Linked DNA regions of Oryzias latipes. The protein of the gene in region 1 purifies or fractionates together with the protein of each later gene. This does not show direct contact. Links are inferred from orthologs where the notes say so. Each region holds a gene or a part of one and is shown on either strand. Other genes may lie near its edges. The genes, in order: bsg and sympk.

Region 1 (4,569 bases):
GGTCCGCCAGTTTTGGTCTCTAGGGAAGCAAGTCACGCTGACCACGTGGTGCAGACAGAGCCAATCAGACCCGTCGACGCATCCGAAAGCAACTAAAACGTCCCGTCATTGGTCAATTAGGCCGGGAAGACGAGAGATGGCCACGACCATAGAGGAAGCGATCTGCGGAGAAATATAGAAAATAAAGCTAAAATTAGCTGATTTCAGACCATTTTTTAATCCGGAAAGCGATTTGTCCGTAGAGATCAGGTCTTTATTTCCCGGAAAGTACGTTCGGTTTGCTCAAAAACCCGGATTTCCGGGAATTCCCGGAAGACTTTCATCACTGAAACTGCCAAATTTCCACCTCAGTCCAGTGTTTCATAGATTTTATTTATGGAAAAAGATATAAAAATTTGTAGGAAGGGTTACTTAAGGCATCAGGTTGAAGGAAGAAAACGTTCGCGTCGGGTGATAAAGGATCAGCCAGAACAGGTTTTTTGGCCACTTTCACCTTCTACAGGAGAGCTGTTGTGCTTTTGGAGAGGGGAGAACACACTAGATGAAGGGAAGGGAGGGAACTGGACCAGACAACAGGACAGTTGTGTGGACAGGATCTAAGAGGTCCACAACTTCACTAATGCAGATATGACCACTCTGACCCGACTCTCCTCGGGGTTCTTCTGTCACTCACTTTCAATCACAATAATGTTTGCCTGCGAGCGGATCCACTTGATTTTTGGAGTCTTCTTCAGATCATTGCGGTCGGGGTCGTTGGAGGCACGACACTCGTACGTGCCCGTGTCCTCAAGGGAAAGTCTGGTGAGGTGAATGGTGCTTGCGGCGTGTTCGATATATGTGGCGTTGATTTTTACACGGTTGTTATGAGCCCCATCAAACAGCTGGGTGAAAGTCTCGTTGGACTCTTCCCCTTCAACAAACCACCACTGAACTTCTGGTATGGGGTACCCTATCACCTCACAATGCAGCTCTGCACTGGCATCGATCAGTTTCATTTGAGACAGGGGGGATCGGATAAAACCCGCTGATTAGCAGCAGACCCAGCAAGCAGATGAATTTAGAAAGTGATGAGTTCAAATGGGCGGATGATAAAAATGAAATGTTAGGGAAGAAAAAGAATACAGAAAGAGAAAGAAAAAATGTTAAAATGAAAATATGACAGCAGACAGATGAATAAGGAAATTTTATCACATTGACTGATTCATCTGACTAAATTTGGAATGATCAAAGCAGACATCAATATAGGATAAATAAATAAAAAACAGATAATTATGGTAATGAGCACAAAGAGCTTGATGATCATCCCTAAAATATATATGACAAGAATGGTAGCAACAGAGCATTCACTCAATGACTAAACAAAAAGGTAAACAGAGAAAAATGTAGGAAGCACATTTACTGAGCTGGACCGAGGAACTTAAAGTAGGTTAACAGGATTGTTCATCAACTGAATGGGGGCTCTGTTTGGAGCATATCTGAGCGTGGAGACTGCAGACGACACATTCTGGTTTATAATTAAATATTTTGAAGATGAGGCTGCAGAAAACATCATCTGAGATCTGAGTGAAAGGTTTGAGAACAACAGAAAATGAGGGGAGGAGCTCAGTCTGCAGAGCGTGACCACATTCCTGTGTGGGGATTAATAAGAAAACCAAGTCATCTGCTGACGAATCTCATCTTTGGGGCAAAACAGACAAACTGGAGCTGTTGAGAGGGTGTGGTAATGCTGGTTATTGTCTTAACACCCCCCATTCAACAAACTACACTTGTAATGGCTTCCTGCTGTTGAAAGGTCACCTTCACAGCAAAGGCTTTTTTTAAAAGTTCAAATTAAATATAGCCCACACAACATTCACTCCTCAATCTTGACAATGCCATTTATAACAAAGCTTTATTTAGATATGCCGTGTAAAAAAAAAAAAAATCTCCTACCAGAGAGCAGCAGACTTCGTTTATCCAGGTTTAACTTTAAAGGAGAATGCTTCAGATGCTAGTTTTGTGCCTAACACTGCAAACTATTAAAAGATAGGGTGCCCGATGAAGAATTACGGTTCTTTTCCTAGTTTAAATAATGAAAATGTTAACCAGAGTACCAAACGGACACAGATTGATCCTCTGGGAAAAACACGAACGTTTTGTTTGTTTGGATCGGTTTTCGTTCGGACATGAGTCGGGAGTCCGAGAACACCTCCCCGGACGCCGGTGGAGGAGCGCGCGAGACAAATACCGCGTGACCGTCGTCCTTAATATGCCGCTTTCATCGAATCCACAGCGAATGGTCGCCATTTAATAACGATAATCACTTCAAACATTACGCAATTACGAATACACCGGACGCTCACGTGATACCAAACATGTTGGTGTTAAATATTCCATGTACCACATAGGCCATTACGTAAGGCATTCTGACAACAAAATACATCTAAAATTCATTTTAATCAACAAACAGACAGAAAATTTTTCTGGGTCGCCAACAACAACTAGCTAATGTCTTGCTAGCCGAAACGTCGATTTTATAGAACCGGTCTCTAGGGAACAATGTGTCCAAACCGTACAGCCCCACGGTGGGGATTCTACAGGTTTAATACAGATGTCTAGCTGGTATAACATCGGAAATTTAAACTGCTAAAGTCAGAAAAAAACATGAAATGTTAGCGGTAGGGCAAAGTCAACATGGCCGACATGACTTTTTTACCTGTGGCGGCGTTAGCGCGACAACAGCCCAGAAGGAGGGCGGTGACGGCCCACAAGAACTTCATGGTCTACTGCGGAAACTCTAGTCCGACCAAAGAATCGAGACGGTCGGTCAGCTCAGCCTCCTTCCACAGTGAGTCTAACGTCCAACGGGCAGAGCCGGCAGACCACTCCGCAGACTTCGTCCTCTCCTATGACTTAACGGACACGCCCTTACCAGCACGTATGCGTGACGTCATCATAGTGGGTGTGGCTTTGAAATCCTATAAGTTTCGTGTTTTTGCCTTTTTTTTGTTTGTGTAAGCGAACCATACATATTTGTTCTATTTGTGTTGAATAATAAAGTTTATTAAAAAAAATAAAACAAGCGAACCGTAGACCCTGGAAACTGTCAGGCGAGGTTAAACCGCGGCGTTCAGATTGAAGGCTTCAGAACAAATCAAGTTTAAAACCTTTGAAAGACCCACTCCGATGAAAATTGTGTTTTAACATGCTCTTATAGTATTTTTCTGATGACGAAGGACGCATAGAAAGAAAATTAAGATTAGAATTGCAGTGCTGAGTATTTTGTTTTGTTCTTGTTTCAAATCGTTGTGAATCAACAGCAGGCGAGAAAAAAGCAGTTGAAAAAAAATTGTGTTGACGTAGAAAATACGCTGGGCACGCCACAAGCTGGACTACATGGTAGTGTAGTGGCTCTCGCCTCATATCTAGAAGGCCCCGTTTGAATCCCGGTTGTGACCTTTCTGTGTGGAGTTAGCATGCTCTCCCCGCGCATGCGTGGGTTTTCTCCAATTTTCTCTCACAGTCCACACTGGTTAATTGTTTCCTCTAAGGCAGGGGTGTCAGAATTCAGCCCTCGAGGGACGGTGTCCAACATGGTTTCCATCCAACTTGTCAGTGAAGCTTCAAATTGGCTAAACACACCTGATACAGGTTAATCAGTAGCAGATAAGGCAGGATTTCTGGAATACTAGCAGCAGACCAGCCCTCCATACCAGGGGTTTGATACCCCTGGGGGGAATTCCAGAAAGCATGTTTAAACTATCCTGACTTTAATCCTGAACTCTGGCTGAAATCCGCCTGAACTTGCTTACTCTGGGTATGTCGGTTCCAAAAGACCGGATATGAGTTGGCGTAATTACGCTTGACTTGGTAACCCTGGGTTAACGCACGTGCACGTCAAGTACATAAAGTCATTCTCAATGGATCGCCGATTTCCGGAGTCACCATGGAAAGGCGTGGAGAAAAAAAAGAGAGCGCTGTACTTCAGTGAGACGGAGTCTGAGATTTTACTGACGGCGTATGAAGATTATTATACGTCCATCAATAAATTAATACGGCTGCATCAGCAAAAGAAAGAGTTTCTGCTTGGAGAAAAAGAATGGACAAAGTAAACACAAGAGTTTCTGATCTAATTTTCATTGTGACGCATATATAACTTATCCAACTTAAATTAATTCAATTGGTTACAAGTAATTGAGTTAAATTTATTCAACCTAATTTCTTACGTCTATCCAACTCAATATTTTTTTACAACTCAAATTTACATTTTTATCTAACTAAATGTAATATTACTCCAATTCAAATAATAATCTTCATTTATTGTAATTCTTGAACTCTCAAATGTCTAAATTTGAGCCTGCAGATATACTCATTTTTATAACAATAAAATGAATGAAAAAAATACATATAAATCACAAGGAATATTCATGCCTCTGAATTATTCGTTACACCGCGACAAAGTAGGGGTGCTATATAAACTCATCATCCTCTCCCTCCCTCTCACTCATGGTGCAGAAAGGATTCAATATAACAGTACAAATAACTGTGCAAAACAGCTAAACAACTAAACACATTTGGTCAAAAATCAAC
Region 2 (4,380 bases), on another chromosome or scaffold:
CAACTCGAGGAACTGGCTTAGTCAGTTTGGATTTGCCAAACTTTGACTGATTCGAACTTAAACTACTCTAATTCCTGTAAGACTTTGTTAAGATACTGTGAGGACGTTCTTGTGTGTTTGTCTCAGTAGAGTTTTGTTACACACTAAATGACAACCCACAGACAGCTGACAGACTGTCCTTACTGAGGTTAGCTCGGAGGAAGCCACCCAGATGACATCCACCAGAAGGAGTATCACCACCCCTAAGGCCATCCTCCTCCGCTGGGCTGTAGAGCTTCCCTGAGAGCTCATCCGGTTCATGATGAAAACCCACTCCATTGAGACCCTATAACAGACACATGACATAGAGGGGAAAACGAATATGATATTTTTTCCCTCTTTTTATTCTACTGTATGCTTTGCTGGAGGGACAAGGCAACAATGCCACTGTACATTGCTCTAAAGGTACAATTTATAAGAATATACCATGACAGATTCATATAGACTTTTAAGACAAGGTAAAAATGAAAAAAAGTTCCTTAAGACTGGGAAACCAGTCAAAGGCCTTTCCTACAGGTTTTTCCAATGAAGACCGTGGTTAACTTAACTAACACGTTGCAGGAAATACGCTTGTAAAGCATCACTAACAACAATACTCATAAACGCGTGTTACAAGTGATGATGTGCGTGTTTTCTACTAGACCTCCGCCTCTTTAAACAAAAATTCTGTTGCATGTTCATGTGGCAATGAATGTAAAACATAAGTGGTCCCAATGAGAATCAAAACTATGAGCACGAAACCGTCTGCAATTTAAAGATGTAAAATTAACTGATTTATTACGATACGACGTTCTGTATATTAAAAACAAAATAAGCACAGTTTTTACTAGCTGTATCCAAAACAAGCTTCGCAGTGGTACGTTTTAGCTGCCTGTTTTCCAAGCTAACTAAGAGCTAGTAAAATGTCCTACAAACAAAGTAACAAAAGCAATAACAGCGGCGTGTTCACCCGAATGCGAGGCGTATTCATTCACTTTTCTTCATTAGTTGATGTCCGATTGATCTTTTACATTACTGTTTCTAAAAAACAACACGTTTTAAACGAGAATATTTTACCACTCCAGCGGTTGTAAACATAAGCACTTCCTTGTCTTGTTATTAGCATCAGGTGACATCACTTATCCCGCTAAGCCTCATGGGACTTGTAGTTAAATGGTGATCGATTAAAAACATTTGAAATGTGTCTATGGCACATATTTTGTTTCCCATGTGATGTAAACAATACTAGTGTTCTTATTAATAGTTAAAAAATAAATAAACAAAAATAGCTTAGAGGCACACAAATCCAGCAGGAGGCGCTGCTTTTATTTGAGTATCCGAAAACAGCCGAAGAAGAACCGTACCATAGCTTCTTCGATGAAATATGGCGGTAGCTTTGTTTGCTTGCTAGCAAAGTTAATTCATATATTTAATAAGTACTAAAACAAGGCAAATCTTGTTGTCTAATAGATCATATTTGTAATTACCCGTTTAATACAAGAGTTAGTGTATCTATAACGCAGTTGGCTTAGTAAAGTAGATTATTATTTTATCGTTTTGGCTAACCTAATGTTACGAGCTAACTAACTGGATTCATTCTCATCATTCTGGTAATCGTGTAGGTAAGTTAGAAAAAAATACTGACTTGCGTATTGAAATTTGTTTATTTAAGTATTATCAATTGAATATGTGTTTCTGTAATACATACGAATGTTTGTAGTCTGACTTAAAACGTTCAGTAATTTGAATTAAAATATAGATGTTATGCGTAATTCTCGTATTGTTATGTATGCTCTAAATTATTATTATTATTTCTGTTTTCCTTTCAGGATCATGCAAGATTATTACTGACTGGAACATCAGCAACATGGACATTTCTTCTAAGGCGGAGGACACTCCGAAAGGGGTCGATATGACCACCAGTGAAAAGGTCTGTACAATTAGCACAAGATGAAAGATTTGTTTACAATCTCAGGGACAACAACACAATCTGGAGGTAGCAGACTTTAAAACAGAAATATTTTAATCTGAAATTGTTCATATAAAGCATTTTAAGTCTTAAAATATACATCTAGAAACACAACAAATCATTAAATGCTTTTTGTGTGATGCAAGTTAAATCTTGATCTTGCTATCTAAACATTCTTTATTTTTTAATCTGCCATCGATTTTGTTCTGATAAATTGCAATATATAAGAAATATTTACAATTGCTGCAGTTTAATCTAAATGGGGCTGTAGTCTACATTTGCAGTTGTCTGGGGTTAATAGCTAAGAACACCTCATTTGGCTCAAACATGCTATATAGTAGAAATTATGCTAATATTTTTTGGCTGGTTAGCCTCTTATTGTAGCGTTGTAGAGACTTACTCTGGTTCTTTCTTTTCTCAGGTGGTGGAGCTTCTGAATCAAGCTTCTCTCATACCCACTGATGAAAAGCTGACTGCTCTCAAACAGGTTGGTAGTGTAAATCTGTGCAGTTTAGATGACTGCTACACAGCAGCACCGACTGAGGTGCTGATGAGGTGGTTGTAAGAATTTGAAGTCACGCGTTTGAATTTCCTTTAGGTTCAAGAGCTCATCATCAACAAGGATCCGTCCCTTCTTGACAACTTTTTGGATGTAAGTAAGCACCTGCCTTTCATGGCAAAGGAATGGTAAGCGTGTAAGTTAAAATCGGCCCAGTCATGTTCTTGTATCTTGCCAATTCTATTTTACAGGAAATAATAGCGTTTCAGACCGACAAATCAATAGAAGTGAAAAAGTTTGTCATTGGATTTATAGAGGAAGCATGGTTAGTTGTTTGTGTCAACATTTTACATCTTATACACTTTTAAATGTATGTATATTTATTGAAACTCTTTTTTTTTTATATCTATTTCCCAACTAGTAAAAGGGACAATGAGCTCCTTGTTAGACTTATCGCCAATCTAAACATGCTGCTGAAGGATGAAAGTGTAAATGTGGTGAAGAAAGCCATTCTGACACTCACTCAGCTCTATAAAGTAACATTACAGGTATGCACCTTAAAGTCACTCGCATAATTTCCTGCTAAAATAATAGGAATACGGTGTTTTTATGTTCCCACATCTTCTGTTGTTTCTTTTCTGCCAGTGGTTGGTCAGCTCAAAAACACTGTCAGAAATGCAGGAGGCATGCTGGGACTTGATCACTCAAATGAAAGGGGAAGTGTTGGCCTTGCTGGACTCCGACAATGATGGTGTTCGCACACACAGCATCAAATTCACAGAATCTTTAATCATCACTCTCTCGCCGCGGACACCTGACTCTGATGTACCCAAACGCCAGGATGCTGACATTAGCCTTGACAAAGTTCCCAAAGACCATTCGTACATTCACTACGGTAAAGATTTTAGAACTCTCTTTTTTTTTTCTTTTTTTTTTTTTTAAACAGGCATGTTAAAATCTTTCTTACTGCAGGATAGATTTATTACATTCTGTTGAATCAACAGGTACTTTGTGTGAAGAAGGAAAGAGTGCACTGGAAAAGCTCTTAAAATTCATGGTCCACCCAGCTATATCCAGCATTAACCTCACCACTGCATTGGGTTCTTTGGCAACGATTGCCCGTCAAAGACCAATGTTCATGTCAGAGGTGGTGCAAGCATATGAGACCCTCCACGGTGAGTGCTTCTTAGTCAAAAAAATATATATTATCCCCTTAACATTATTATTAAGGTGCAATCATTAATATTTATCTTTTTTTCTAGCTAACCTTCCCCCCACTCTGGCCAAATCTCAGGTTAGCAGTGTTCGAAAAAACTTAAAGCTGCACTTGGTGGCAGTTCTCAAACATCCGTGCAGTGTGGAGTTCCAGGGTCAGATCAGCACTTTGCTGCTGGATCTGGGAATGCCTCAGACTGAGATAACTCGAAACACTCCTGTACCACGAGAGCCTCGCAAGAGGCCTCGCTATGAGCAATACACAGAGGGAAAGAAGGTCAAGATTGGTGAGTAGTTCACCACAAAAATGCAGACTGCCTTAGAAAATAACATTTTTATAAAAAAAAAACAGTCTTTAAAGGACTTGTTGAAAGATTACGAGTGTTTGTTTTCTTGCCATCACTTGCAGAGGCTGTAACTTTGCTTTACTTAGTTTTTCTTTCTGCACAGGTTAGTCTCTATTGCAGCAGCATCACACCCAGAGATTCTTTAGATTACTGTGTGGTGACTCTGTAGTTTTAGATTGACTAATAGAAATAGAATTTTAGATTCAAAATTTTAGGTTATTCTTGCTCTTTTCTTAATTCCCCCACGGTTTATATTTTAATGTTTCATTTTGTGCTATCAGTGTGGATTATAAATTCACTATGGATTTGTTTTAATTTGTGACAACAATTAC

Evidence for each region.
Region 2: the proteins of bsg (region 1) and sympk purify together in Homo sapiens (co-immunoprecipitation; 3 studies listed by BioGRID and IntAct, counting the BioPlex papers as one, with this or other methods). This does not show direct contact. The link is inferred for Oryzias latipes from reciprocal best matches to the Homo sapiens genes BSG and SYMPK.

What each region holds. Positions count from the first base shown.
Region 1 is NC_019862.2:7,112,583-7,117,151, reverse strand, and holds the start of bsg (basigin), read right to left. Parts: upstream 2,907-4,569; 5' UTR 2,760-2,906; coding exon 2,696-2,759; intron 1,025-2,695; coding exon 674-1,024; intron 1-673.
Region 2 is NC_019879.2:16,691,211-16,695,590, reverse strand, and holds the start of sympk (symplekin), read left to right. Parts: upstream 1-1,376; 5' UTR 1,377-1,640; intron 1,641-1,847; 5' UTR 1,848-1,885; coding exon 1,886-1,948; intron 1,949-2,408; coding exon 2,409-2,474; intron 2,475-2,585; coding exon 2,586-2,639; intron 2,640-2,737; coding exon 2,738-2,811; intron 2,812-2,907; coding exon 2,908-3,034; intron 3,035-3,131; coding exon 3,132-3,381; intron 3,382-3,490; coding exon 3,491-3,661; intron 3,662-3,748; coding exon 3,749-3,988; intron 3,989-4,380. Other genes in the region: slc35f5 (solute carrier family 35 member F5), read right to left, coding at 184-325, 1,096-1,154. UniProt on the Homo sapiens protein: Scaffold protein that functions as a component of a multimolecular complex involved in histone mRNA 3'-end processing. Specific component of the tight junction (TJ) plaque, but might not be an exclusively junctional component. May have a house-keeping rule.